Linked DNA regions of Saccharomyces cerevisiae S288C. Changing the gene in region 1 together with any one later gene gives a genetic interaction. Each region holds a gene or a part of one and is shown in the gene's direction. Other genes may lie near its edges. The genes, in order: IGO1, NET1 and ZDS2.

The links.
Region 2: of IGO1 (region 1) and NET1, changing one suppresses a phenotype caused by changing the other (phenotypic suppression), as found in Saccharomyces cerevisiae (one study listed by BioGRID).
Region 3: mutations in IGO1 (region 1) and ZDS2 impair growth when combined (synthetic growth defect), as found in Saccharomyces cerevisiae (one study listed by BioGRID).

The regions. Positions count from the first base shown.
Region 1 is NC_001146.8:334,434-342,778, forward strand, and holds IGO1 (phosphatase regulator), read left to right. Parts: upstream 1-5,918; coding exon 5,919-6,425; downstream 6,426-8,345. Other genes in the region: serine/threonine protein kinase CBK1, read left to right, coding at 1-434; YGP1 (Ygp1p), read left to right, coding at 2,112-3,176; ASI2 (Asi2p), read right to left, coding at 4,045-4,914; PGA1 (Pga1p), read left to right, coding at 5,179-5,775; NSG2 (Nsg2p), read right to left, coding at 6,636-7,535; YNL155C-A (uncharacterized protein), read right to left, coding at 7,478-7,702; CUZ1 (Cuz1p), read left to right, coding at 8,083-8,345. UniProt on the Saccharomyces cerevisiae protein: Required for TORC1 to properly control gene expression and chronological life span. Plays an essential role in initiation of the G0 program by preventing the degradation of specific nutrient-regulated mRNAs via the 5'-3' mRNA decay pathway.
Region 2 is NC_001142.9:291,362-302,899, forward strand, and holds NET1 (Net1p), read left to right. Parts: upstream 1-3,883; coding exon 3,884-7,453; downstream 7,454-11,538. Other genes in the region: PRY3 (Pry3p), read right to left, coding at 1-2,620; YJL077W-B (uncharacterized protein), read left to right, coding at 2,686-2,784; ICS3 (Ics3p), read right to left, coding at 3,305-3,700; YJL077W-A (uncharacterized protein), read left to right, coding at 3,438-3,524; APQ13 (Apq13p), read right to left, coding at 7,099-7,515; cohesin subunit SMC3, read right to left, coding at 7,796-11,488. UniProt on the Saccharomyces cerevisiae protein: Has a role in chromosome maintenance and is involved in mitotic exit. Inhibits the action of CDC14 by sequestering it in the nucleolus. Also binds to RNA polymerase I and stimulates rRNA synthesis.
Region 3 is NC_001145.3:49,998-60,606, forward strand, and holds ZDS2 (Zds2p), read left to right. Parts: upstream 1-1,642; coding exon 1,643-4,471; downstream 4,472-10,609. Other genes in the region: COQ5 (2-hexaprenyl-6-methoxy-1,4-benzoquinone methyltransferase), read right to left, coding at 34-957; YML108W (uncharacterized protein), read left to right, coding at 4,796-5,113; PML39 (Pml39p), read right to left, coding at 5,268-6,272; orotate phosphoribosyltransferase URA5, read left to right, coding at 6,776-7,456; RNA-binding signal recognition particle subunit SEC65, read right to left, coding at 7,869-8,690; MDM1 (Mdm1p), read right to left, coding at 8,942-10,609. UniProt on the Saccharomyces cerevisiae protein: Acts as a negative regulator of polarized growth via an alternative mechanism to ZDS1. In heat-stressed cells appears to play a role in localizing BCY1 to the cytoplasm. Seems to interact with, and down-regulate, CDC42. Also acts as a suppressor of PKC1.

The DNA.
Region 1 (8,345 bases):
CCGAAACTCCACAGGAAACGTACAGAAAAATCATGAATTTTGAGCAAACTCTACAATTTCCTGATGATATTCATATCTCTTATGAAGCCGAAGATCTAATCCGTCGACTATTAACTCATGCAGACCAAAGACTTGGTAGACATGGTGGTGCAGATGAAATAAAAAGTCATCCATTTTTTCGCGGTGTTGATTGGAATACAATCAGACAAGTAGAAGCACCGTATATACCAAAGTTGAGCTCCATCACCGATACTAGGTTCTTCCCAACCGATGAGTTGGAGAATGTTCCAGATTCCCCAGCTATGGCACAAGCTGCCAAACAAAGGGAACAGATGACAAAGCAAGGTGGAAGTGCGCCAGTCAAGGAAGATTTACCTTTTATTGGCTACACTTACTCCAGATTTGACTATTTGACAAGAAAAAATGCGTTGTAGGGACGCGTTAAGGACATTCCTCTTTATTCAAGTATTTATCTATGGATGTAGAACGCACATTATGAATAAATAACTGCACTTTTTTCGGGAAAAAAATTACCAAAATAGACATCAGCTTTATCATATGTCTCCTTGAAGTATTTGAACGACCACCTTTCCGAAGACAATGTACCTAGTAACCTACAGGCTGCCCTTAATCCATACATCCACGCACAATAGCACAATCTCGGTGATGGCTGGTTTTTTTACCTTGAAAAACAAGAAAAATGGCTGATGTAGTTGAAAAAGGTAAAAGAGATGGCAGATCAGGGGACGATTTTGTAGAGGAAGTATCTATATATATCGACCATATTGAAAAAAATATGAAATAACATACACACGTGTAAGAATATATAATTTTTGTTATTAACACGTCGTAAAAGAGAAAAGATCGTGCTTTCATCACGCGCTTCCTCTCGGCCTTTCGAACTATAAATTATAAGATGATCCAGTCTTACAATACTGAATGAAACTCAGGGAAGACGATAGCGGAGGTTCGACAACCGATCACTGTAAAACCTACACTTTCAAGTTCATTAATCGTCGCTTGAAAGATCGTCATAACCAAATATTGCTAGAAACAAAAGCGTTCGGGATAGGTCAAACCATGATGAACTAGTTCCACACGCATATCTTAAAGCGTGCTATTTTTTAAAAAGGGCAAATTTAGGAATGTCTGACGGAATCCCTAATCATCTTTGGCTTTTCCCTTCACTCCCTTCTTTTACCGACGATGGTTTGAAGGAAAGAGAAAAATGAGCAATAGGAAAATTCAGTAGTCGATTTCCATTTCAATTCCCTATTGGGTAATGTGGCGGCGAGGGCTAAACATTCGGTATCATTGATTCAATGTTCTCACAATGTTCAAATTCTCGGATCGGGTATCCCTAATTGGGATCTCTTTCCAGAGGAAGGGGCCTTGATGTGGGATTGAAGACACATGAGTTTTTTTCTCACCGTCGAAACTTTTGCTTACCCGTAAAACATCGGCCATTCGTTGGTTTATTATGTGACTTTTTTGTGACTTTTTTTTTTGCGAAGTTTTCTCGTCATCCGCGGAAGATCCGGCGGGCGAAAAAGTCTCTCACTTTTACCCAATCGGGGCATGTTATGTGGACATGTTATGTGTCCAAGAGACACATGAGCCCAAAAAGGGTACACTGTCTAAATAGTTTACCCTTTACGAATCGAAACTTCTCGAAGAAGGGGCCGAAAATTAGCGCAGAAGTTGACGAAAGTTTATACTTTTCCTAATGGAGAGGCTCAGGAGCTGAAAAGGGATATATTCGTACTCTATTGCATCTTCAAACTCCGAAGAATCTCAGTAGGGAGTGAAGCCGGCTTCTCGATGCTACAGTTCAACATCGATACTTTGAAGAAAGAAAGCGCCTATTATATCTCTTTTACCCTATTAGTAATAATTAGGAAAAAGGGAGAAAAAAGTACCTCACTAAAAAAACCATCATCTCTGAAATATAAAAAGCTTGATAGAGGGTGACATTTGCTAGAACTTCTGCTGTGTTCTCTTGGGTTATTGCTCTTATTGAATATCCCTTCTATTTCTTTCTTGCTTGTAAAAAATCAGCTCAAAAAACATCTACAGGATTAATCGTCAGTTAAGTAATACAGTAATAGAAAATGAAGTTCCAAGTTGTTTTATCTGCCCTTTTGGCATGTTCATCTGCCGTCGTCGCAAGCCCAATCGAAAACCTATTCAAATACAGGGCTGTTAAGGCATCTCACAGTAAGAATATCAACTCCACTTTGCCGGCCTGGAATGGGTCTAACTCTAGCAATGTTACCTACGCTAATGGAACAAACAGTACTACCAATACTACTACTGCCGAAAGCAGTCAATTACAAATCATTGTAACAGGTGGTCAAGTACCAATCACCAACAGTTCTTTGACCCACACAAACTACACCAGATTATTCAACAGTTCTTCTGCTTTGAACATTACCGAATTGTACAATGTTGCCCGTGTTGTTAACGAAACGATCCAAGATAAGTCATCCGCCGGTGCCGTTGTTGTTGCCAACGCCAAATCTTTGGAAGCTGTCTCATTCTTCTTCTCTATCATTTTTGACACCGAAAAGCCTATTGTTGTCACTGAAGATTCCGCTTATGCCATTCCAGTCGCTAACAATAAGAACGCTACCAAACGTGGTGTCTTGTCCGTCACTTCTGACAAATTAGTGTACTCCGGTGTCTTCACTCCACCTACTGCTTGTTCTTACGGTGCTGGTTTGCCTGTTGCTATCGTTGATGACCAAGACGAAGTTAAATGGTTCTTCGATGCTTCTAAGCCAACTTTAATCTCTTCTGACTCGATTATCAGAAAGGAATACAGTAACTTCACTACTCCTTATGGTCTATTAGAAAACGGTGTTCCAATTGTTCCAATTGTCTATGACGGTGGTTACTCTTCCAGTTTGATTGACTCCTTGAGTTCTGCCGTTCAAGGTTTGGTTGTTGTTTCTTCTGGTTCTACCAACTCAACCTCATCTACTATTGAAAGCACTGAAATCCCAGTCGTATATGCTCAAGCTAACACTCCATTAAACTTTATTGACAACAAAGATGTTCCAAAGAACGCTGTGGGTGCTGGTTACCTATCCCCAATTAAGGCCCAAATCTTGTTGTCCATTGCTGCCGTTAATGGTGTCACCTCCAAGTCCGCTCTGGAAAGCATTTTCCCATGAACTGATAGATATTAAATCTAGCGAAGCATAGAGATTCTTTTTTTACCAGTCATCATAACCATTATTTTACAAAATTTCCACGCAACAGCTTTTATTTTCGTTCGTAATAGGAACCATACTTCCCATTAAAGCAGTATGATTGTTTTATACACCTTTTTATTGTTATTTAAGACATACCCCAAATAATTAATTAATTAATTGATGAAAGAATCATATAAATTCTTGGCCATACATATTTTTTTATTATCTTTTGCTACATTGACCATAGGTGAATATCTTCCCGGGGTGACACTCCACTGAAGTGGGAAAAAAAGAAAAGTTTTAAAACATTGCTCACCTTAAGTCTCGAAGGTCTAGCATTCACTACCTGTAAGTGTCAAGACCCCACATGTATACATGGATACAATAAAGAAACAATGTCCGTATAATTTGTATACATTTTACTACAGATAAGGGATCTCACCCCCTTCTTTTGTGTCTAAGTGAAATCTTCTGATATATTTAGTGTTTTATAGCGTCCATGTTTTAAACTAGAACGGCAAAATAGTAGTTGTTGTAAACGCTTATTTTCGAGACATCAGGTAAAAAGGATAGTTAAATCTTACAATCAATGCATGTAGTGAGTGGCGTTTATCAATAGTTTTTAACAATTCCCATTTTGAAAGAAGCCCACAACAACCCTAGTAGTTCGTTAATATACGTTATGATGGTCAAGTGTCACAGTACGGAAAGCTTGCAAACAGCTCTTACATAGAGGAGTTGCTTCAAAATAAACGTCCTCTGGTGTCAAGTGTCTCATACAGCGACCACATGCGAAAGAAACTACTACAGATAAGCAAATACACAAATTATAATCGTGGATTCATCATCAGAATACGCCTGGCCCTGTAATCCTTTGGCTCACCAACATTCGATGGACACCTTTATATCTTCTAATAACAGTGAATAATAGACACAATACGAAGAAAAACCCAGCGGTAACCATGTAAACGGTACCACTTACGCCATAAGCTAAATAGATCAGAATGGTAGAGACTTTGACAAATAGCTCGAAAGCTTTAGCGAACATTAGTCTTATCCAATTTAAGTTGGGTTCATTGCCATCTCTACTTTTCATAATATGTTTTATCACAGGTGAAGAGTAAAATACAATGATGTTATGAAACTTTCCAAGCAACCCTAATTTACCAGTATCCTTATATGCTATTAATGTCGTGCCACCAGAACCAAATATCTTGGCAAATTTCCAGTATCCCACGATTTCGATTATAAAATCATTCTCTGAAAAGGTCATTGAATTGAACCCGCTCCTTAATATGTTGTATACGGAAAATGGGAATAAAATTAGCCCAATAAAGTAATCTAAAATGAATAAATTTCTAAGAAAAGTTCTGAGAGGGCTCTGCTGCCTTGCTGTGAATGGGGAATCGGCCGTATTGGCGTTGGTGGCTCTTATAGTGTCTGCATTGATTCCTCCATTTCCGTTTGTGGTTGCATCCATATTAGCTGCTCTATTTATATTTGAAGTAGAACTCATATTCCTCCTAAGGGAGTTAAATATTCCATCGATTGCTTGCTGTACATCCTGCTGTAGTTCTTGCTGAGATTGCTCGGTTACAGGTGAAGGCTCTCTACTATGCCTCGTTTCCGATTCTTCTAGAAATCGCTGAAACAGATAATCATCATTATCGTCTCTTTCTGTCCAATTACTGCGGCGATGATTTTGAGGCCTCGCCATTTTTTCTCACTAAATGCTTGTGAGGATGTATGCGTTTGATTCGGTGTCTCTTTAATCATATTCCCGAATCGACCCTATTTGAAGGTAGAGGGAGTTGTTTCCTCTCACTATTGTTATAAAAGATCATCAATGACGGAAACTAATATGCAATGAAAAAATGAGAAGTTTACATGAATATGAAGATTAACTGCACAGCAATGTTGTTGACCCTTGGTATTCGCACACACTAAGCCAACATAGGTTCGTTCAATTTTTAAAAAGAAGATGGTCCGGCCTCAGAATGTTCACTGGTTTATCGCTACAATTGTATTTTTCATCGGATTTGTACACGCTAATACAGAATCAATCTTATATAAGGTTCCTCACAACTTTCCCCTCAAAAAACCAAGAGACAGCTCTACTTATGCAAGAGATGTAAACTTGATATCTTCCATATCACTATCGGGAGAAGCAATGAGTCAGATCACTATCGAGGCCAATACCACTGACTTGGAGTTGCATAATACTACGTATATTGAACTGGCGGACTTACAGCGAGACGAAACATATCAGATTAAAGTGTGTTGGTCAGCAATACATCCAATTTCCATTAATAATCTCCAAACTATCACAATACCACGTTTCACTGAATTTCAGGGAACTAAGTCAGACTACGCGAGAATACTAGTGACTTTCCAGGTCTTGTCTGACTCGTATCCTAGTGAGCATGCCATGGTTCCAATACAAGTCTCATTAATCACCACTCGGCTAGGTATCCCCGTGGATATTTACCCAACATTAATCGTTATGGTGCTATTAGTAGCAGGGCTTGTTGTTACCCGGGCACCACACGTATTGAACGATCTTTTGCTGAAATTTTAGTATGGAAGCCTGAGCCCCCTTTGGCTGGATAGCTTGGCCTCATCACAACTAGAACGTAAAAAAGTCCATTAACCATCAAATGCTTCTCATTAAAGTGGGTATTTTTATCGAAAGAAAGGGACCTGAATATCTAACTCGCCGCTATGTCGAATGAAAACTTATCTCCCAATAGTAGTAACCCAGATTTAACTAAACTGAATAACGGCGAAAGCGGAACTATTGATACCAGCAAATTCTCGCCCAACGAAATGAAGCTATACAAAATGTACGGAAAGCTGCCATCAAAGAAAGATATTTTTAAGCATACCATGCAGAAAAGAAAATATTTCGACAGTGGTGATTACGCTTTGCAGAAAGCTGGCATTCAAAACAATGATCCAATAAACTATGGAAAGAATAACCTGCCATTAACAAATCCCAGCAAACTACGAGAAGATATAATAAAAAGAAGGATAAGCACTTGTCCGTCAACTGCCTCAACCGCTGGTGTAGTAGATAATGCGACGTTGATACAAAAGGAGGGAAGTATATCGAGTGGACCACCATCGTCTAATAACGGTACTATTGGAGGTGGTAGTACAAGTTCAACGCCAGTGGGGAACCACAGCTCTTCGTCGTCCAGTTTGTATACTGAATCACCCATTAGATAAATAGACAACCTGTACTTTTTTATATTTTTTTAGGGAAAGAGAAGGGTCTCTTATATTTAACGCTTATTATGTGATTTCTCGAAATGTCAAGTGTTACAGCCATATGGCTGACTGTGTTTACGTTAATTAGTTATATATAAACGATAAGCCATTCTGATGTTATCTTCTTGTACTTCTAATTAATAATATTTACTCGTCAGAATTTCGACTTTAATGAGAATATAGATATCTTCCTAGTTTTCCAAACATTAGAGAACCAAGGAAATAAAAATCCATGAAATATAAAAATTGGGAACCGTCGATAATATCTTTGTAGCAAGAGATACAACAACCCACCCCAATGCAGATGCAGCTCATTAACATGGATATTGAGCCGTCAAAAAACAACCACAGTATAATATTCAGAAGCCCCCATGCCCCTGCCGCCTGCAAAGAGGAGTTCCACTGTATTTTCCTGATCCCAAATGTGACTCCCAACATGGCATTGATACTTCTAATAACAGAGGTCAAACTGTCATGGTGGACAGAGCTCTTAACAACCTCTGTTTGAAAAATATTATCCAGAATTGGTACAACAGAACCAAATAACAGTCCTTCAACACCGTAGCCTAACCAGTTTGGCAGAACCCCATTGGATAGCCAGTTACAAAGTTTGACACCCAGTAGAAGGGGTCTCGATGCAAAATCTGGATGTAAGAGATGATTATCGTGCAAGTTTCTGGACAGTTCATGATATGCGAAACCGCTCAATGACAAAATTAATACAGCTTGCAGGTAATGAAGAATATTTTGACGAGTTTGTCTGGTTCTTGACGGAAAGTTTTCGTGAATGGATGATGCTGATAAAATCCTTTCCAAATTATTAGAAGATACTGTGTTCCTTGGCAGCGAGCCGCCAACCTTATGGGCCAAGTAAAAAGTCGAATCAATAGTTTGATCTCTACTATATTTGGTAGAATCTATAGAGACAGAGCGTTTCAATTCTTCGTAAATTTCGTTATCTTCCGATCTCACGACGTCATCATCATATAATGAATAAAGCTGCGGTTTAGTCAGAGAGCAGATTGATTCGGTGCTCTTCTTTGGATCCGGTTCTCCTCTATTGGCCATTCTGTATGCTGTTTTCTTTGAGAAATACTTTGTCGTTTATCTTCGTCCTTGTCTTCTTTTTGGTCCTTTGTGTTTGAGTGCTTTCCAAACTTTTTCTTTACCTTTTGCACGCCAACTACTATGCCCTTTATTGCAAATAAAATAGGTACTACAATAAGCCCTATCATCAATGTTGAGCTGTCAACTAGAAGTTTAAGGAAAAGAACATCTCGAAGTTTAGTAATTTCCTTGCTTTCATATTTTAAATGTCTAGCTAATTTCGTATCTACCCTTTATCTCATGCCGATAAAAAGAAAAGTTCCCCCCTCGTGGCCAGCGACGTTCGTATATACATAAAACTGCCTCACCCTCCTTTCGGTGGCAAAAGCATGTTCTACAAATGAGTATAAAGATGTAATAAGAGCTTGTACAAGCAAGGACTCGAGCTAGGGCGGAAGTGTGACAACAGTGAGCTATAGGCACATTGTAGTGTACATCTACTGCAAGAGCTTGCATTAATTTTGATATAAAAAAAAGGACCATCAACTAATTTTTGCTATATTTAAGAATGTCGGCGGCTATCGAAAAAGAAACCGGAATGTTGGATGTAGGAAAGCACTGTGCATATTGTAGACAACTAGACTTCCTACCTTTCCATTGTTCGTTTTGCAATGAAGATTTCTGCTCGAACCATAGACTTAAGGAAGATCACCACTGTAGGTGGTTGCTAGAGCATGAAGAAGTTCATAAAACTGAAAAAAGTCCTAGCAAAAGCCGGGATGGCTCAAGTTCTAACGATGAAGCATATTTCAAGAGTCTGTTACCTGAGAG
Region 2 (11,538 bases), on another chromosome or scaffold:
CAAAAGCGGCAATCGTTCCAGCTAGACTATTGCACTGGAAAATGGAAAGAGGTGTTGCAGCACCTTCGTATGCAGAAAGTTTTGCGGTGGTTGATGTGCCTTCTTTTAGTTGAGTGTAGATCGAGGAAGTTGGCTGATGCATGGCAGACCCGTCTTGTTGGCTGGTAGTTGAACGACCGTTGCTACCAGTAGTTGTTCTTGCACCTAGGCTTGTGCTGGAGGGCTTGGCATACAGTGTAGCAACAGTCTGTTGGTAGGTTGTTGTTGTGGAAGAGGTGCCTTCGTTTGAGGTGGATTTGACAGAAGTGGGCTCGTTTGGCTTTTCAGATGTGGCGAAATCGCTAGCGAGAGAAGATGTTTCTCCGGGGTTAATGATAGTTGCGGCGTTGACTTCAGTGTAGATACTAGAAAAGGCAGTGTCATCATTTTCTAGACAAGTGGTTGTAGTTGAAGGGAAAGAAGAAGCTGGAACCACCGTGTTGGTTTTCATAGGCGATGTGGTTAGCTCACTGGTTTGGGTTGAGGCGCCGTTCAAAGTGCTACAAGATGTCGAGATTGTTCTAGTGAAGGCCGTCTCATCTGTAGAAGAAGCAGCGGAGGTAGGGAAATTACTATCCGTACTACAAGAAGCTGTGATGGTGTTTGTGATCAGATTGCTTTCAGTGGTGGTGGCAGTGGAGATGGCGAAGCTAGGACTATCGGAATAATCGCTCTCGGAAGTGCAGGTAGAGACTAACTGTGTGGTGTTGCTTGAGACACTAATACTGGTGGTTGTGCGTAAGCTATCTAAAGATGCGCCTGTGGAAGAAGATCCATATGTAGAGGTGTGTTTAGCATTGTCGGTTGGACTAGCTGAGTTGTCGGTAGGGTCCAATGTGGGATCTATGGTTACTGCGGTAGCTGCCCTTGTGGAGTTGTTAGCAGTAGTGGCCAAGGTTGTAGTACTCTTAGTAATGGCTGTGATGGTTGTGGTACTCGAATTTTCTAAAGTTGTGGTCTTCACGATACTAGAGCAATTTGTAGCAGGCACAGATGTGGCAAGCGCAGAGGATTGCTCGGATGTAATGGCGTATTCGGCAGCGTATGTTACACCGTGTCCTGACACAGAAGCACTGTTGGAGTAAATGCTACTCGATGTGGCGGCACTGTTACTAATATTCTTCTCTGTTGAACTTGAAGCCTGAGCAGTTTCCGAAGTGATACTTTCTGAGGCGGTTACTGAAGTGGTGGCGGTGTCCTTTGTGGTATGGGCTGTGCTACTAACTGAGGTTACAGATACGTCGGTGTTGACGGCTATAACGGAATTCAGAACAGATTGCGACACAGCTGAGGAAGAGACGGCCCCGGAAGAACTTCTGGAAGATGACCCAAGTCTCGTTGCATATTGGGCAGCATTAGTTGCACTAGTTACTATACTAGTATGTTCGGAAACTGAGCTTGTGGCCTCCTTGGAAGTGCTACCCTGAATATCGTCAGCAGCTACAGATGATGATAATGAGGCGCTTACAGAAGAGGTTGTTTGAGCAGAAAACACAGTTGTGTTTGCAAACTTAACAGAATTAACTGAATTGGAAGTTACACTTCTGGAGCTTGCGGTGGAAGTAGTAAGAGTACTACTCAAAGGAGCAGAAACCATTGATGAAGAGCTCGAGATGGCGCTGCTAGAAGAAGCGGCGTTCTCGGTACTCGCGCTGGAGGAAGCGGCAGCGGAACTTGAGGCAGGATCAGAAGAAGAAGCAGCAGCAGTGCTCGAGGTAGGGTCGGAAGAAGTGGTACTGGACGATGTAGCAACCGATGAGGTGGTGGTAGTGGATGAAGTAGCATCACTAGAGACGACGGTACTCGAGGAGGTAGCATAGGAAGTAGTGACAGAAGAGCTTGAGGCTGATGAGACAGTGGAGGATCCAACTGATTCTGTGCTACTAGTAATTACGGTAGAAGAGGACGCAGTGAGGGTAGCGGTCTTGGCAGGGTTTATGGTCGTCGATTTTAAAGAACTGCTGCTAGCCGCAGACGATACCGTTGTTGTATACCCTTGCGCTACAGCGGGCATAATACTGGATGAGATGGTGGAGACTGTGTCTGATGTAGTTGAGGTAGAAGAGGACGAGGATGAGGACGAGGAAACAGTGCTTATAAGTGGTTCCACTTCCTCTGCAAACTCACCCAGGTAGTTTCCAGGAGGGTTGTAGGAGCACACAATATAATTGTTCCATGTCGTACCACAATATTTATAACCACATCCAATCTCGGCGGTTGACTTCCAAACCACCTGTGTGAAGTGACCCGTGGATTCAGAAAATCCGGGATTTGAATAATTATACTTGCTTATCTCCCCGTACCAGGCGTCCACCGCTCCCGTGTCTGTGTAACCAAGGGCAAGGTTCTCACCATATGGGCCATCGGAATGCGTTAAGACACCCGAACAATCATATTGGTCGGCGTAGTTCTGCGCATAGGTGGCCAGAGTGTCGGACCAGGTGAGCGGCGCTGTGTCAACATGTAGCGCTCTGAACTTGTTATGCTCGTTCAGCACATCGCTCTCGAAGTTTGGAAACGTGGTTTGTGCCTTGACGGCTACTAGGCATCCTAGCAGAACTGATATTGGAAACTCCAGCATAAGCGTTTTCGTTTTAAGTTGTTTTAAGTTGTTTGGAGTTGCAGGGGTGCAGCAATTATAATTTTATGCCGATATTGGTTTGGCAACTACCGAAAAGCAAGAAGCTAAAAACTTTGAAGTATAGAATATGTTTTAGAGAATTCTTCGACCGAGTTGAAACATGAGAACTGTTTCATCGGCCCTATATAGCAATTACATCCTTCCGTTGCTGGGTCCCTGCCTAGATACCATATTTGTTGTTGAATTAACCGCGGGAACCCGCAATATACGAAAGACGAACACAAGAGAGCAAGCACACACAGCTAGTGCGTAGCGTTGCTAGCTATATTGCCATGGTACCTACCTTTCACCTCCTTGTTAAATCCATAAGTGGACGGTTTTCCTAAACCAGTATTTATCAGTTCTCGAGCACGCAGAGAAAAGTAAACGAAGCGACCTGCATTGCGGTAACTATAAACACCCAGCCGCCTCCAGCAGAACCAGCCATGTGCGAAGAAAAACAATTTTTCGGCCAAACTTACCAACAATAGCGACGCGTTCCTCACATCGTTGGGTTTTTTTCGCCTCTCTTCAAGTTTCCTATACCCGAGCTTAACACAACACAACGGACCCTCTTAATTAGAGGTATCCTCCGTTCTTTTCTTCCGCTTTCCTAATCGAGATACCAGAGCACGGAACAGGACCCTAGTGCATCGGAGAGGAGATCCGTGGCACGCTCACTGCGCCTTTCACTATCACCGATTTCGTAATTCGAACAGGAGTATTTCGCTGCAGGGGAATTACTGTTTGTAGACGAGGGAAAGCAATTATCAGATACATGCCAGGGATAGCGTTCAAGGGGAAAGACATGGTTAAGGCAATACAGTTTTTAGAAATAGTCGTTCCTTGCCACTGTACGACCTGAACTTTACTCAACGAAAAAAAAATTGGAAAAAAAATAGTGCATAACGTTGCTATTAACAGATGTAGTACTGATATGTCCCTGATTGGTGAAGAGTCAGAATGATATAAGCCTATTTGATATGTACGTGTACGTATTCGAAAATAAGATTTGTTTCTCGTAGGGAGCGATATGTGCATTATGTTACCCGTTCCACATGTTTTGAACTTTTTTTCTTTTTCATGGTAAGCGTCAATAATCAATTTGAATAACTAGTGAAGAGTAGCTAGCACGATGAAATAAGTGCCGGAGCTGATCGAATCCCTAGTCTCGGTTCGCCTGAAACAGAGAGAAGTCGATTACTGTACACCGTGCCTCCTTCTATGTACAAGCTACAAGTGGTCTTGGTGCCTCCGAGTCTTCAGGCGACGATGCCAATACAGTTTGGCTACGGACCAACCATCGCCGAATCTTCTCAATTGTTGCCAAACAGAACTAATATGGCGCAAAGCGCCGGAGATGCCTCTTTGCAGTATGCTAATCTGAGATCTGCCAATGTGAGTTTCACGCCAAGCTATTTCAACCAGTCTAGGTTTAGGAAGTTTCTTTTGTTTACCAAGCCGACAAACACGCTGTTGAACTTGAGTGATGAAATCATCGATAAGTGTGAAAAAATGTACCCGAGTTTGCAAGAAGACATTGAAATTTTGAGTTTGCAAGATAACAGCGGTTGTGACCTTGATCCGGATTTTTTGGTAAAGGACGTTTTCAATGTAAATAATATCGTAAGAGTTATATTGAAGAATGAGATAGATCTGGACGATTCCGCACCAGTGTCACTTTATAAGTCGGTAAAACGATCCAAGTTGAACAACGGGTCGCCCCAGTCGGTGCAGCCGCAACAACAAATCCCGTCCTCTTCAGGTGTTCTTCGGATTGCCAAGAAGAGGCCACCTACAGGAACCACGACAACAACAACCATTCGTAGTGCCACTAATGGATCCATGAGGGTTTCTACCCCATTGGCTAGGCAAATTTATCCTCCACCTTCTTCGAAGATCGTCTCCAACAACTCAGATGACGAAGACGAAGACATTGGTGAAAGATCCTTTTTGCCGCCTCCAACGCAGCCTCAGTCACCTCCCATAAGAATTAGTTCGGGCATTGACGCAGGTAAAAAAATAAAATCAAGCATCGTCGAGGAAGATATCGTGTCCAGATCAGCAACCGTGGATCCAGATAAAACAAAGCAGCAACGTCTATTGTCCGGAACTCCTATAATGTCCACCATGACTCCAAACAGAGTTACTCTTACCGGTCAGAGAGTGGTTTCTGAACACGCACATAAAAACGAATTGGTTTTCTCTGCTTCAGCTTCTTCCTCTTCATTTGCTAATGGTGGCACAGCTGCTGTCACTGCTCAGGACATTAATAGGAAACCACCCGTAACCACTCCAAGAATAACATCAGGAATGTTGAAAATCCCCGAGCCAAGAATCTCAGAGATTGAAAAAGAGTTAAAAGAGGGACCTTCCAGTCCGGCCTCCATTTTACCCGCTAAAGCTGCAAAGATTCCAATGAAAAAACCTTACTTGGAAAATGGCGAGAACTACGAATCCGACGATAGCTCAAGTAGCGAAAACCAAGAAACTCCTGAAACAGAACCACATTCAAAGGCTTCCTTGCAACGTAGTCAAAGCTCCATCGCAGATAATAATGGCTCTCCGGTGAAAAATAGTCCTCTCGGTGATGCCATGCCACACAATGTGCATTTAGCAGAACTTCCCAAGGCAAGCAATACCTCGATCACCAAATCTTCAAATGGCGAATCCTGGGGAAAGCAACAAGAACATCAACCACCAAGAAAGAGTTCACTGGAAACTATAGTGGAAAAGAAATCTCAGGCGGAACCTTCCGGTATTGTGGAACCGAAAAGAATGACTAATTTCCTAGATGATAATCAGGTAAGAGAAAAAGAAGATACGAATGATAAACTTTTAGAAAAGGAAATTTTGCCGACAATTCCACATAATGATCAGCCAATACTTGCATCATCTGATAAGTCTAATGGGACGTTGAAATCACTAGCTGGGAAAGTTAGTTCAAACAACAACGCTTCAAAGGAAGATGGCACTATCATTAACGGCACCATTGAGGACGATGGCAATGATAATGATGAAGTTGATACTACGGTTCGTATTGTTCCTCAAGATTCAGATTCCTCTAGTTTCCCAAAGTCAGATCTTTTCAAAATGATCGAAGGTGATGATACAGATCTACCGCAATGGTTTAAGGGCAAAAATTCGAGAACTTCCGGTAATTCCAAAAATTCAAAGCCTTACACAACGGTTTTGAATAAAGACATAGACAATTCTAAGCCAGATCCAAGAAATATTTTGCCCCAGCGAACCCCAAGAAGTGCGGCTAAGAGGGCTGCCCAATTATTGGCAGGTGCCAAGAAAAACGAAGTCCCACAGAAAAGTACTGAAGATTCTAGTTCGGCAGCGTCCACAGACGATGAGTCAGAGAGTGGGATTGAAACAGATTTCTCATCAGACGATGATTTTAAAAGGAAAAATATGTCGGTGCCTAATAATGGGCCCAAAGACATTTCTTTACATTCTTTGAAAGGCAGTGTTGTTCCAGTGAAAGACTCAAAGATAATCAATAAAGAAGTTGATGAAGAAAGAAACGACAAAAGAGATAGTCAAAAAAAGTCAGCCGTGAGTGAATCTTCAGTAACAAATAGCAAAATAAGTGAACAAATGGCGAAAAGCTTTTATCCGAATTCAAACAAGAAGCAAAATGAAGCTACAAAGGTGGAAACTAAGCCAGCAACACAAGCATCGTCTTTTCCTGTTGTTGGTGGGTCTCCTTCTGTTGCTACTAAAGGAACTACCTCTTTCAATGAAGAAGGAAATCGTAAAAATGTTAAAACGAAGGCCAAGAATGAGTCTGCGCAGATTGATAGGCAGCAGAAGGAAACAACTTCTAGGGTTGCAGATTTGAAAAGCGCAAACATAGGAGGTGAAGACTTGAACAAGAAAGCAGAGGGGTCCAAGGAACCAGAAAAAGCATCTGCCAATATACAGGATGCTAACGATAAAAATAACTCGAAGGAAAAAGAAGACTCCAAAAGCAAACAGGTATCTCAGAAAAAGTTAAAAATGACAGATCACTTAAAAGAAGGCAATGTTCAGCTTCCTAAGCCCAGTGCAAATGATAAATTGAAGGATTTGAAGGCTAAATTTACTAATAGTAAAACACTCGTGCCACCTGGAATAATTTCTAATGAAAAAAATAATTCTAGTGCAAACGATGATGATTCTAGCTCCTCAGGTTCTTCCACAGAAGACGAGTCTAGTTCATCTTCCTCGTCTTCTGATGAGGAAACTTCAACATCCAGGAAGGCTAGAAGAGTTGTTGTAAATACACCAAGAGAACCAGTTAGATCTTCATCTAAGATTGAAGCCCCCTCTCCATCTGTTAACAAAAAAATCAATGCCACCCCTGATAAAATTCCAGTTACACAGCTAATGGACATGTCGTCTCCTCCGTCAGTTAAATCCAAGACCACCTCAAATCCGTCTAGTATACTTCATGACCTTCCAAGAAAAGTTCGTCCTTCTTTGAGTTCATTATCTGATCTTGTTTCAAGAGGCATCCCAGATGTAAAGGAAAAAACTTCTAAATCGAATGAGAAGTCACAAACAAAAGCCCCTTCAAGTAGTGATGATGAATCTAGCTCTGATTCTGACTCTAACTCCAGTTCGGACTCCGTATCGGATTCCAGTTCAGATTCTAAATCTGAGTCAGATTCTGATGACTCAGGGGATTCATCTGATGATGGAAAAAGTTTTATTAGTGCGAAATCCGCTAGTGCTGCTTTAGGTAAGAAGAAGAAGCCAAGTGGTGGATTTGCATCATTAATAAAAGATTTCAAGAAAAAATGATACCAGAAAGTCTCAGTAGAATACACGTCACAGAAAGCTAGTAAAAAAAAATAATCAAGCATATAAAAGTATTAATATATTAAAAAATCTTCATGTAAACCAATTCTTATTTACCTCTTTTCCCAGCAAGCGGGCAACTTCTTTAAGAAAAGTAATCTTTTTTGTACGTCGAATTATCAAAGCTTGGTTACTATATTTAACATTATTGTTTAGTAACAGTATCATCTTAAAAGAAAATTTTTTAAAATTCCAATATAGGAGACAATGGTAATAATTACATACAAATAGCTATTTATGTAAGCAAAACTGATATTTTTATATACAAATCGTTTCAAATATCTCTTAGACTTCAGCGAATTTATTGCTACCTCTAATGAATCCGATTGCTTCTTCTCTATTGACCTCAATAACCGTGGAAATCTTATTCTCGTACTTAACACGGAAAAATTTGTCTGCAACTTGCAACATATCTGTTCTGAACGTCGTACAAATAAACTGGGCATTTTTTGACAGTTCTTTTAGAAGTGTAGCGACTGCAGTTCTATACTGCTTGTCGAGTGCAGCATCAATTTCATCAAACAGATAGAAGGAAGCAGGGTCAACCATTTGGATTGCCAGAATCAAAGCAATGGCACATACAGTCTTCTGACCACCTGAGAGCTGTTCAACATGCAGTTGTTCGTTTTGTTTAGAATTGAAGGAAACAGAAATTGAAACACCTGTATACATAATTTCACTATCTTTACCGTTTTGGCTTTCATTGGATTCTGCATCCATGTCAACATCAATACTTTCATCATGGTCGTTAGCGTTATCATTCTTACGGTGAATAATCAACTTAGCAGTACCTCTGGGAACTAATCTTTCAAAAACAGCTTCAAAGTTTTCAGAAACCTTTTGGAAAGTAGAATCAACCGCGTTAACCTTTTGTTGTTTTAACTTAACAATTAGATCTTGAATTGAGTCTTTAGATTCATCCAGCTCTGAAGCTCTCTCCGCAAGGTCTTTGCGTCTTTCGTTAAACTTTTTGAAGTTTTCAAAAGCTCTCTTGTTTACATTCTTCAAACCAGAAATCTCTGTGTTCATATCATTCAGTCTTTGTAATAGCTGATCACTTGTGATGTCGCTAAAATCATTTACTAAAGCATCCTCTGGCAGAAGCCCAATTTCCCTAATCCTTTGCTGTAATTCTTCTCTTCTAGTAACCAAAGTTGTTTTCTTAATCATCGTTTTTTCAACACTTTTTTGGAAATTGTCAAGCTTCTTTAATAGTAATCGCTGTTGATTGTTTGCTTTTTCTAGCAGTTTCTTATTATTAGTTTCTTCAGCAATGAGACTTTCAATTTCTCTTTGAACGGTACCTAGTTCCAACACAGCGTTTTCATGCTGCTTTTCAACGCTTTCCTTCTCCAATTGTAATTCTTTCAACTCATCTTGTAGACCAAAAATAAATGCGTCACCTACTTCTGACATCTTGGATTCTAGATCATTTTCTTGTGGGATAAGTTTGGACTCCAATTCGGCATTCAACGAGTCAATGGTTGTAGTTATACCTTCTAGGGCGTCTGATGTAATATTTAGCTTATTGTGCGCTGCACTAATCTCCTTTGTTAAAGATTCTAATCTTTCCTTTTCTTCTTTTGAGAGTTCGCTATCAAACTCCTGAAGCAAATCATTTTCGAATGTATTTAGCTTTTCCTGAGCAAATGTACGATTTGTATTCAGCTTTTCTAGTTTTAGTATAATTGCGTTTAATGATTCTTCGAGAATTAATTTTTCATTCTTTTTGGTGTTTAGCGATGTTCTATATACCTCGATATTTGTTAAGACAGACTCCCTGTCATTAGAAACCTTTCTTATATTCCCGTTTACTTGATCAATCTTAGTATCAATATCATTTAGTTCATTTCTTACGAAATCTAATTCTTCCAGTATTTTTTTGTGTTGACTTCTTGATTCATTTAAGTTTTTCAATGATTCCAAACGTGTTCGTTTGTGCTGGTCAAGATACCCACCTGTAAGTACACCTCTTTTGTCTGCTCTATCACCATCTAAAGTGATGGCATTGAGTTTGTGTTTCTTAGCTAATTTTAAACCTTGACCTAAGTCTTTGACAACAATAGTTTTTCCAAAAACGTGTTTGACAGCCTTCTCAAACCTGGGTTCATATTTTATCTTCTTTATCAAGGGAGTAAACTGGATTTGTGTAGTAGTGTTTGAGGGGAATTTAACATCACTGTCCAAAGATAACCTGTTCAAGGGAATAAACGTCACTCTCCCACCCTTCATACGATATAGTTCGTTCATAATCAAAGTGGCCGTTTCTTCGGTATCCACGACAATGTGGAAGAGGGAGTTACCTCCAATTACTTCAGCACATGTCTTGTACTTATCATTGACTTTAATCAGTTCACCTAATGTCCCAAAGACAGATTCCGGTGATATTTTTAGTTTTTCTGTAATTTCTTTCACATTTATTATACCATTTGCCAATGATCTACTCATGGTTTCATTAACATTTCTTTGATTTTGATTGACGTCACTTAATAAAGTTTCCAAGACTGTCTGTAATTTTTGCTCCTTTCTCCACAATTCCTTACGAGTGTCTAAACTTTCACTCAGCTTCTGTTTGAGGTGTATTAATTCCGAATCAAAATCTTCTAATTGACCCTTGGTATCTGGTCCATTGATAGAATCAATTAGCTCTTCAATCTCTTCATCAATCGCAGAGTACTGCTTCCTTAAAGAAGTACGATCCATTTGCAATTGACTTTCCAGTTCATTTAAGTTTTGTATTGAAGATTTCAGTTCTTCAATTTCTGAATGAATCCACGTATCGCGTTCATCCTTTGATTTAAAACGGGCATATTCTCCTTTCTTTAAGATAAGATCTCTCTGCTTTTGTTGCAAGGAGGCCAATTGAAGTTTGTACATTGCTTCTTCCTTTGTGAGTTCTTGATATCTAGGTAAAATTTTAGACAACTTTTGTTTCCTTTGCTCAATTATAGATTTGATCTCTTTCAAAGTTGCACTATCCAAATTTCTCTGCTCCTCATTTGACTCAATTTGCTGTTGAACATCCTTTATTTTTACGTTGACGTTTGTTAATTTCTGAGAAATCTCAGATTCCCGTAGTTTTGCCTGTTGTAAATCAGTCGCATTTTTGATCTTCAGTGAAGCTTCAATACTTGATAGCTTTTTGGAGACTTGGTCAATCATATCCTCTCTTTTATCCAACTCCTGGATGTATTGTTCGGAAGAGTATACCGTGTTATTATAATCACCGTCCAGTCTTTCCATTTGATTGATAACCTCATTTAATTCTCGATCATACAATGTGAACTGGTAGATCTTTCTGTTGCGTTCCAACTCGTTGTATTTCTCTAATTCCTTACGTTCCTGTTCCATTTCACTCAATTTAGAGTTTAGTTCACCCATTTCCTTGTTAATTTGAATCTTTTTCTGCTCTGTTTCCTCCATTTTTTTCAATGAAGCTTTCAATTTTACTTCAAATGACTTAGCTCCTACAACATCTTCCAATAACTGCAATCTTTCCTTATCCTTGGCATTAGTTAAGGCGACTATTTTACCTTGTGGTACTATATTATACGGATTATTCATTGAAAAACCAGCGGTTTCCAACATTCTGACTATGTCCCCTTTGGTCACGTTTCTGTCATTTAATTGATAGTCATCCTTCTTCAGCCCTACTGTTCTTCTAATGGTCACTTCGTCATCTCCTCTCGAAAGTACACCGGAGGGCAATATCATAGAATGATCTGGATCGTGGAACACAATTTCTACCGAGGCACTCATCACTGAACCACCAGAACCTTGGTGGATAAGCCCTTGCCTTTCTTCCCTCTTAAGATTAGAGTAATCGTCACTAAGAACAAATCTAATCGCAGCGAAGAAATTCGATTTACCTGAACCATTGGAGCCAATAATAACATTCTGATGCGGCGAGAAATTATCAATAATGGTTTCGTTCCTGTAGGTTTTAAAACCCTTAATTATCACCCTTTTGATATACATTGCAGACGTGAACTATTACCGTTACTCCAGCAGGTCGTCTTGTAAAAAAA
Region 3 (10,609 bases), on another chromosome or scaffold:
GACAAAAAAAAAAGGAAATTTGTTCTATTTACTTTAAACTTTAATGCCCCAATGGATGGCACATATACCAAAAGTTAAACTTTCGTAGCCAGCAGATTTGAATCCTGCCTTCTCAATCATGGATTTGAACGTTTCTTGGTCAGGAAATCTTTCGATAGACTCCACCAAATACTGGTAAGAGTCGTAGTCATTAGCAATCATCGAGCCCATTACAGGTAGGACCTTAGCCCACTGTTGGTAAGCAAAGTCCATTAGGGGATTCTCAATTTTGGAAAATTCTAGACAATAAAAAATACCGCCCGGTTTCAAAACTCTATAAGCAGTGTTTAAACCCTTTTGAATATCGGTGAAATTTCTGATACCGAAGGAGACTGTGTAGATGTCCTTGGAATCAGAATCAATCTCCTCTAGTTTCTCACCATTAGAAACCAAAAATCTCACACGAGGATCCTTGAAATATTTTCCTTGTTCCATGGCTCTCTTCTCACCTTCTTTAAGCATGTCAGGGTTGATATCTACAATATCCATTGTAGACTCAGTGTCACCAAATTTCGACTCAGCATGGTCTAGTAATCCGAAAGCAATATCACCGGATCCCCCAGCCACATCTATGAAGTTCAAAGGAGTCGTAGAGTTTGGCCTTTTTCCCGCATCTAGTTTATTGATAAAATGGTCCTTCCACAATCTATGAATTCCTAATGACATAACATCATTCATCAAGTCATACCGATTGGCCACGGAAGAAAAGACATCACCAACTAACTTCTGCTTGGTAGACTTCAATACAGTCTTCGAACCAAAATGCGTATACTTCTGCTCTGGCTGTTCAGCTGCGGATGATAAAGGACTATTAACTTCTTCTTCTTTGCATGCTCTGTGAGCTTGCGTAAAACACCTAGATAATCTTAGCGGGACATTTACCAGCGAGCTTCGAACGATCCGTGAAGAAATCAACATTATATCTTTCTTGCTGCGATCTGTACTATTCCCTTTGCAATTGTAACAGCAGCTGTATAAGGAGTGAAGGTGGCAGATATCCTTATAGTTTCTTGTGTGATCCTTTTTTTTCCACTTTTTCAGTTTTTGTCAAATGCGGAAGCTAGTTTCCATATTAGGGAAGAGCAGGCAACAGGGCAGAATCCTATACGGAAAGACTTTCATTTAATGATACATTTGCCAAATAACTGTGTTCCAATATCGAGAACAGAACTATCGGATACCTTGATATTTGCTCAATGGTGTCACTTCCCGTTTTTGACATGTACTCTTCCCAATTCAGAAAAATTCTCGCACTTTTCCCACAGAGAAAACCGCAAAACTCAGAAATTTAGGCTGTGTATCGCCGATAGTATCACGGCCGGTTTATGCTTGATTTGGCTGCAAAATGGTCACATTGGACCTAGAAGTGGCCTTTTGTAGCTAATTATAAGTGCATGATTATTGTGACCAGTAACATTTGCTGACGCGTTGTGCGGGTAGCACACGCCGCGTCTTATTTTTGTTTTCATCTCATCTTCGTTAGATCATAATAATATGATTGAAAACTGGAGTAAAACGCTAAAGAACAGTGTCAAGGTTAGTAGTATCGTATACTTTACATTGATCACGTTTGCACTATAGACTGAATTTAAATTAGAATTTTATGGTACTGATGGAAGATATGCAAAACAAAGATGGCCATAATACTGTAGAAAACAGTAGTGGTGGTACGGACAGTAATAATAATATTCAAATGAGGCGAATGAGGAAGACACAGCTGTCCAAGAAGGAGCTTTTTGAGAAGAGGAAATCTGACGTGTTAATTGCTGCCAAGTCTTTAGATACAGAAATTCAGAATGTGAAAAATTTGAAGCGATTGTCGATTGGTTCAATGGATTTGGTAATTGACCCTGAGCTAGAGTTCAAAGTGAACAGTAGAAACTCATATTCTTCAGATTCCTCAAAGGAATCCCTTCAAGAATCGCTCCATGAAGAGAACATTATACGATCAGAACAAAAGGAAGAACAAGGGAGCGAAGACAATGATGCATATGAAGAGGGCGATGCTACTAATGTCGACGACAGTATAGATATCACTCAAACAGAGTATTTGCATGATGAAGAAACATTGGAGAAGGAAAAAATCATCCGTAATGCTTCTTCATCCACTTCATCTTCAGCAAGAGTAACGTCGAGGAACAGAAGGCTCAGTGGAGTAAAGACATTGGCTCACGATGTTGTATTGGATGTGGAGAACGACCACGATTCAAAAATGGTTGATTTAACTCAAAACCTTTTGTGGGTGCCCGCTGACCAACATCCTAACGTTAAGCCCGAAAACTATTTGGAATTGATCCAGGACACTTTACAAAACATTCAAATAAGCACAAATCAAGACATTGATGAAAACAAATTAGAACTGGGTAACAATCATGTAATTTCGAATAGAAAACGCACGGGCTCTGTAGTTAGAAGGCCTTCTCGGTTGAAGACATCTTATACCAAGTTTGATGACGAACCTCCCCTTGCAGACAAACCACAAGAAGGAGAAATACAAGTGGATAAGCGAATATCCTCATCTGACATCAAAACCATAAGATCTGTATCTTTGAAAGAAATTACTGAAGAGCTTACTAAGATTTCCAATAATGCCGGTTTAACGGACTCAGATGCGGTGACTTTAGCCAGAAGCTTGAGCATGTCAGGGTCATTTACCAACGAAAGTCTTCATTTGAACGGCAATCACACTGAAAATGATAACGAATTTGCATCAAATATGTTTAATGAAACTGGACTTACCATACCAGAGAGATCTTCTCTAAGGAGGTCTAAATTCAACACATATAAGATCAGACTAGAGGGTAGTAGCCTTCCACAGGCGGTAAAACTCAATAGCCTAATGAATATACAAACTAATGACAATCGCAGAAGTGCATCATCGCCTGCCTCCTACACACAAGTGCCTCAGGAGCAAGCATCATTGAATGATTTTCACGAGATTTTCGACCATTACAGAAGAACAAGTACTGATTGGAGTACCGAAAATGAGAAATACGTTGATAGCACCAACTACTATTCGGATGAAGAAGATTTGACACATGCATCTATTTCTCAAGAGAGCAGTCTTTTATCTACAGATAGTTCTAACAACAGCGTTTTAATAAAGCCGCATAACACTGGTTCGATGATTTCTGAAAAATTGGATCAGCACGTTAGCTCGAGTGAAAAATCAAATACCAATAACAGCGAAGCAAATCATGGCTGGTCATGGTTGAATTCTAGCAATGGAAGTTTGAACGCTAATGAACAAACTTATCAACAGCTTACAGATGATGAAGACGATGAAGAATGTGTGGACAATGAAAAAGCTGACTTTGTTAACTTGAGTGTATCGAGGAGAGCGAAATCTACCAAACGTGCCTCTGAAAGAATAAACCATTCCAAAAATAGACATTCGCCAATTTTCCAGATACATTCTGAAGAAGCAAAATCCGTGGTAATCACTCCTTCAGTCGTTTCTTCATCTGAATCCCAGCCATCTAAGCCTACTGCACCGGCAGTCGTGGAGAAAAAGGTAGAACTGCCTACTGACACCCAAGCCAGTACACATAAGAAAAATTCCTTGGAGAAAAGGCTTGCCAAATTATTCAAAAGAAAACAACATAATGGTACCTGCAAATCAGATGTGAAAGTAATCAAAAAAAGTGTTAAAAAAGAACTGAAAAAGAAGGCTTCGCATTCGAGTTTATCAAAATTCAGGAAAAGTCCCAAGAAAAAGCCCCAAGAAGCGGAAGTTGAACGCCCTTCATCCCCCACCAAAACAATTACCACCGAAGATATAGATACAGCAAGCGTCATTGAACCAGAAGTGAGAAGTTCAAATGCTTCCACCCTTCTTCCTGACAGCCATACTAGCCACAGTTCTGAATTTGTGGTGGAAACTATAAGCGAGTTAGATGGCGACGATTCATTTGATATTAGTGGTGGTGATGTAAACTACGACGTCGAAGTGCACTCTAGTATCAGTAGAGATACGACAGCTGGACTAGAAGAGGATATAGGAGCAGAGAGAGAAGACAACACTTCACCTACTGCCCCTCAAATCTCAACTTTGCCTCCAAGAAAATTGACATTTGAAGATGTCGTTAAACCAGATTACTCAAACGCTCCAATAAAATTCACAGACAGTGCTTTTGGATTCCCATTACCAATGATAACCAACTCTACAGTGATTATGTTTGACCATCGTCTAGGAATTAATGTTGAAAGGGCTATTTACAGACTCAGCCATCTGAAGCTTAGCGATCCCGGGAGGGAATTAAGACAACAAGTATTGCTAAGTAACTTCATGTACTCCTACTTGAATTTAGTCAATCATACCTTATACATGGAGCAGGTGGGCACTGGAGATATAGCCTTCAATGGTGATTCTGCCTTGGGAATGATGGACAAAAATGATTCTGATGGCACAATCTTAATTCCAGACATTTAACTCATAACTGTTTACAAGATTGATAGATACCTATATAAGGCCACATATTTCAAGTATTGTAAGGATGCCCTTTTAGTGTCAAACTTCTTATTATCACGAAAAACGTCGTCTTTTCATGCAAGGAAGGACTACAGTATATACATATAAATATATATTTATGTAATTATTTTTTTCTTTTTTTTTAAATTTTCTAGCGAGAATGAAGAAAAGCCGACCTCATCTCATCCTATTTGGAACAAATTCGAATGATCTGTCCAATACAGCAAGGCTACCTTGCGGTTGAATTCTATCTCGTACTACACTAAGACGAAAGAGAAAAACGAAATGTCCAAGAGTAATACTTATAGGATGCTCGTCTTACTAGAAGACGACACCAAGATAAATAAAGAAGATGAAAAATTTTTGAAAGGTAAGCCGGGAAAAATGCATGAATTTGTTGACGAGTTGATACTTCCATTTAATGTTGACGAACTGGACGAATTAAATACCTGGTTTGATAAGTTCGATGCCGAAATATGTATACCGAACGAAGGTCATATCAAATACGAAATTAGTAGCGATGGTTTAATTGTACTTATGCTAGATAAGGAAATTGAAGAGGTTGTCGAAAAAGTAAAGAAATTTGTCGAAGAGAATAACTGAAATAATGATGTTGCTTCGGTTTTTTGCATGAATATAACGTGACTGTTGCGTATGCATATGTGCACGTAATTTAAAGAGAGAGTGACAGAATCTGCGCATCAGCATGGGGGCATATACAAGCATATGAGAATTTGGATAATGTATTACATCTAATTTATAAAGTTTGTAGAACAGCCTCTAATTTATTTAGTCTTTCTCCCACGCCCAATTTCGTTATTAGTTTGTCCTCCTTGCCGATTAACTCCAGCAACATTGTGGGCAACAACTCTTTGTTGTAATACCGACACCATAGAGCGTGTCCGTTAAATTCTGTATATTCTAACTTCTTCAGGGATGCTCGATGAAAGCAAGCCGTGCATTGAACCAGATCATCCTTCTGGAATTTCGTGTAGCCGAGAAGCAACAGACCTACGAGAGAATAGTCTTTACAATCGAAAAAAAATGCCAATTTTTGTATTTCTTTCTCAGACAAGTAATGAAATATACGGGAAGAGTTTCTTTTAAGGCTAAATTCATTTGATCCGGAAACAATTCTGTCAATTTCTGTATGAATTCTTTCAATTTCCCTTATAAGGTTTTGTGAGCTTAAATAATACTCTTTGTTTAAATCAACCTGATTTTCCCTCCACGGACACTTTTGGAGATGATTTCCAATTATATTGGAATTCCAGATTTTTTCATTCAATTTCATGGTGTAATCGGCGACATCATCGCCATTTTTTAATAAAGGAATTGTCATAATGGCATGGCAACAACAGCACTTAAATGGCACTTGCGACTGGGATGCACTTTGGTACGGCTCCCAGCCCTTGGATGCTAGAGTCAGTGGATTGACCCATCGAACGTCCCATTCAATGAGCACATGCCTTGTGTAGTTTTGAATGGAGCATATTCTTTTCAACAAGGCCCGAAGATCGTGTAATCGGAAACCAACAAAATGTTTAGAGCTTTCTTGTACCAAATCATCATACAATTGCACGTGGCTCTTACATTTTTCAGGCAACATTGAACTGCCATTATGGGATTTCTTCTTGTACCTCCATTTGGTAATAAGTCGCTCTCCTAGAGTATTCCTATATTTTCCCGGTAAAAGTTTGGTATTCTTGTCCAGCGAATGTCTAATAGACTTCAGTCTAACCTCCAATGCGTCCTTTTCCATTAGTAACTGCCCTACTTTCCTGTCAATTCCTGGGGAATAATGTTTTATTTCTCCTTTACCATAGATTTCAAGATGACAGTTACTTTCGTTCCGAATGACTAGCGCTTGAAAATTTTTCAAACATTTTCCATATTCAATAAGCAAAACAAAGAGCATTTTGATTTGATAACAATTGTTTGGTAGTTTGATCTCATCATCAATCAGAGGTTTTTAACAAATTTATTTTTTGAATACATTTCAAAAGGAAATTGCATTTTGTCTTTTTTTTTTTGGGAGAATTTTGTGGGGTATTTCAATCATTGTTCCAACTTTACGTTCCTTTTTTGAATAAAGACACTTCTTATTATTAACAGGCTTTTATTTGTCAAATAAGATTCATTCAAAATTTCCATAAAGCATTACTTCTGCGATATACTACTAACGGAATTTTGGTTGCGTATTATTGTGTCTGACATTGTATGAAGGATACACAAAAAAATTAAAGATTAAGAAAGTTATTCAAAATGCCTATTATGTTGGAAGACTACCAAAAGAACTTTCTAGAGTTGGCCATCGAATGCCAGGCTCTAAGATTTGGTTCATTCAAGTTGAAATCAGGTAGAGAATCGCCATATTTCTTTAATTTGGGATTGTTCAATACTGGTAAATTGCTTTCCAATTTGGCTACTGCGTATGCAATTGCCATCATACAATCTGATTTGAAATTTGATGTGATTTTCGGTCCTGCCTACAAAGGTATCCCACTTGCTGCTATTGTTTGTGTGAAATTGGCGGAGATTGGTGGCTCTAAATTTCAAAACATTCAGTACGCTTTTAACAGAAAGGAAGCCAAAGATCATGGTGAAGGTGGTATCATTGTCGGCTCTGCCCTAGAGAACAAGAGAATATTAATCATCGACGACGTCATGACTGCTGGTACTGCCATTAACGAGGCCTTTGAGATCATCAGTAACGCCAAGGGTCAGGTAGTTGGCTCCATAATTGCTCTTGATAGACAGGAAGTTGTGAGTACTGACGATAAAGAAGGACTCAGCGCCACTCAAACTGTTAGCAAAAAATACGGTATCCCAGTCTTGAGCATTGTCTCCTTAATTCACATAATTACCTATTTGGAAGGCAGAATAACAGCAGAAGAGAAAAGCAAGATCGAACAATACCTTCAAACCTACGGTGCCTCCGCTTAAAAATCAGTTTTTTAATTAAATGATTTATTTATCTCTTTTAAGAACTATTAATCTTAGTTACTACGATACATGCACGCCGCTCATCTATATATGTGTATAAATAGCGTATATTCACACACATATATATAGAGCGAGAGAGTTTTCTTGTTACTTTTTTCTGTGTTTCGGTACCTCTTGCCTGTAGCTGCTTCAAAACTCTTGGCTTATTGAACTCTGTTTCAACTACAGACGAAATAATACGAATAATTGATTTGTCTTGATGTAAAAATTTAAAAGCTGATACAACAAGTCATTTAGCACTTGATCTGAACAAACATCATATTCTTATAGTTCTGCTATTATAATCTATTAATATATTAATATATTAATCTCAATATACATATACATATACATAAATGGGTAAAGGAGACAATCATCTTCTAACTACTTTGTACTTATTTTTTGGTGGCTTGAACGACTTTTCTGCCGCTGTAATCTTAGGAGTTTCGTAAACAGATTTTGTCATTGGGTGGCCCATCAAGAACGGACTATGCAGCGGAACAATCTCATTCATTTTGAATCCCTTTACACGTGGAATCTTTTTGAATTCAATATTGTCGAAATCAGGGCCATATGGAATCTCCCTTAAAGATTCAATAGTAGTTGGATGTCTTTTCATATACTCCCCAACAGCTTTCATTAATTGCCTCTTTCCACCTTTGAATTTAGTGGCTGCGCCAATTAATTGTCCATTTTCTTTGAAAAGTACACGAATTCTACCAGGATTACCAAAATCTTGTGGGTGACATTTTTCACCTTCAAAAATGCATAATATTCCCAATTCACGGACAGCATCTGCCATAGTTTTAGCCAAAGGATTTTCAACAGCCAACTCCTTAGGAACCCTTCTCCCTTCCTTATGTGATCTGTTTATGTCAAAGTAACATGGATAGAGTACTTGGAATCTTTTGACTTCTTCTAAATCTTTCTTCGAAATAGCCTCCGAACGTTCAACCTTACCAGTTTTTGGGTTAATAAAACTCAACTGCTCTTTTTCGTTGCTACTATTGTTGTTGCTATTACTGTTGTTATTCGTGCCAGGTAAAAATGCAGGGTTCTCTTGGTCCTGGCTCCTTACAACCTTAGGCGTTATCTTGGGAGCGATCGGCGTCCTCAAAGATGGATCTAACTCGGCCAATTCCATATCAAGGTCGTCGATATCATTGAAATCGTCAATCTCTTCTAATCTAGGCATTTTGACTTTATGATACTATAGCTTATGGCTTATTTTATTTCTTTTGATTTCGTTAGTTGCTAGCCTGTTGAATATCATTGATATTTTTTTTTTTTTCAGATTACAAAAGCGTGAAAAATAAATACTTCCCAATTGTTTTAAGAAGAAGTACACAATTTTTAAAGCGGCTGAAGAAGTGTACCAATTTATTTGCTATTGTGACAATTACACTTTTTTTTTTAGATTGTTCGGTACTTAGTCAAGTTTTATTTTCAGTCATTACATATTATGTCCAATAAAATTGCATCAAGAGCTTCCAACAGTAAGCTGGCATTTAAATACGGATTCTGTAGCATGGCATGGACCCGGCCAGCAGCTTCATGAGAATCTCTTAGACCAACTACACGACCACAAGTGTCTGCGAAGAGTCTTTGCAAACTGGTTAAAGCGAGTTGTTCCGTCCGTAACCTTTCACCTTCGCTTCTTGTTGCCTCTGCCGTTTCATTTCTTTTTCTTTCGAACAGACCGTTATCACCCCATAGCATATTCTTGAATGTAACTATTGCTTCAAATACTTGATCCTCTGATCTCAATTTTTGAATGCTGACCTTTATATACTTTTCAATAGTGCTCCCAAGAAGCTGTTGTAAAACGGTAATTATAGCCCTTCCTCTTAACCAACCCGCGTTGGCCTTATTTAAAGCAAAGAGCGAAATAAATAAGTCACATATCTGTTTAACAAAAGATTTATTTTGCGAATAAAAAGGATAGCCAGAATCGGTGAAAAAATGTCTTTCATCTTCATAGAAATTCAATTCACCGCCGTCTTCAGAGCTTTGTAAATCAACAACAGAACTGCTATTACTTGTGCTATTACTACTACCAATAGGTTCATGAAGTGGCTCCTCCAGAATATCATCATGCATATATTCCTTGTTCAGTTTGAATGGGGTAGGATCTGTCAAAAATCTTCTGAAAATGTTATCTTCGCATATTTCAGAAATAGATAATAGTTCTCGCAAGTACTTTTCAAGTTTTTGCTTTCGTTCCTCATAAAGCAATGTTTTTGTAACATGATATTTCAATGACATTTTCACTTTTGACGGGAACAAATCTTGCAACTGCCTCATCAGATCCCTAAAATTCTTTTTCAAATATGTATTTAATTCAAAAAATTCATTATATCTCCTTGCCATATCCCAAGAACTTACCTGCCCATTGTTAAAATGATGGATATTGATGATATAATAAGTTATTTCTTTTAGGCCATTACTAGAATTCTCACTGAAGTACGACCTAATGTATATCTTAGTTTTTCTGAACAAACTATTACCATTTTCTTGTACCATATATTGCTGTTTCAACAGTTCCTTCATTTCTAGTTCCTTTAATAGGGTTCTTTGTGACTTTTTTAAAATTTTCAACTGCATTTGATTGTTGGTCAGATCTGCCTTCAAAATCAAATGCCTTAAAAGTTCAAGCTCTTTCTCAATCTGATCAATTGAAATAGTCAAGGATGCTATATTATCCCTAAAGTTGTTTGACCCATAAAATTGGCTAGGATTTAGGCCTGAATTCCCGCTGGAAACACTTACTTTCTCCATATTACGTGGGTGATCCAACTGATCCTCGACAACAGAAATTTCTGAGGTATTATCGTTTTCATCGTCGAAGAGTTTATCTTTGAAAATGTTGTCATTTTCTGAACCAAAGAGCTGAGAATAACGGGGATTTGAGCTTATTCTTGATTTATGCGGCTTGGATCCCGATCCATTCACTATATTATCTAAAGCATCTGTGATGCCGGGGTTTGCGAATATTCTGACAGGATTCATAAAATCAGTCTTCACATTATCTTTTATTATTTTGTTTTGTTCTGGATTGTTAACACCACCGATTCTACTCAGAAAGTGAGCATATATATCAGTCGAAATGATGTG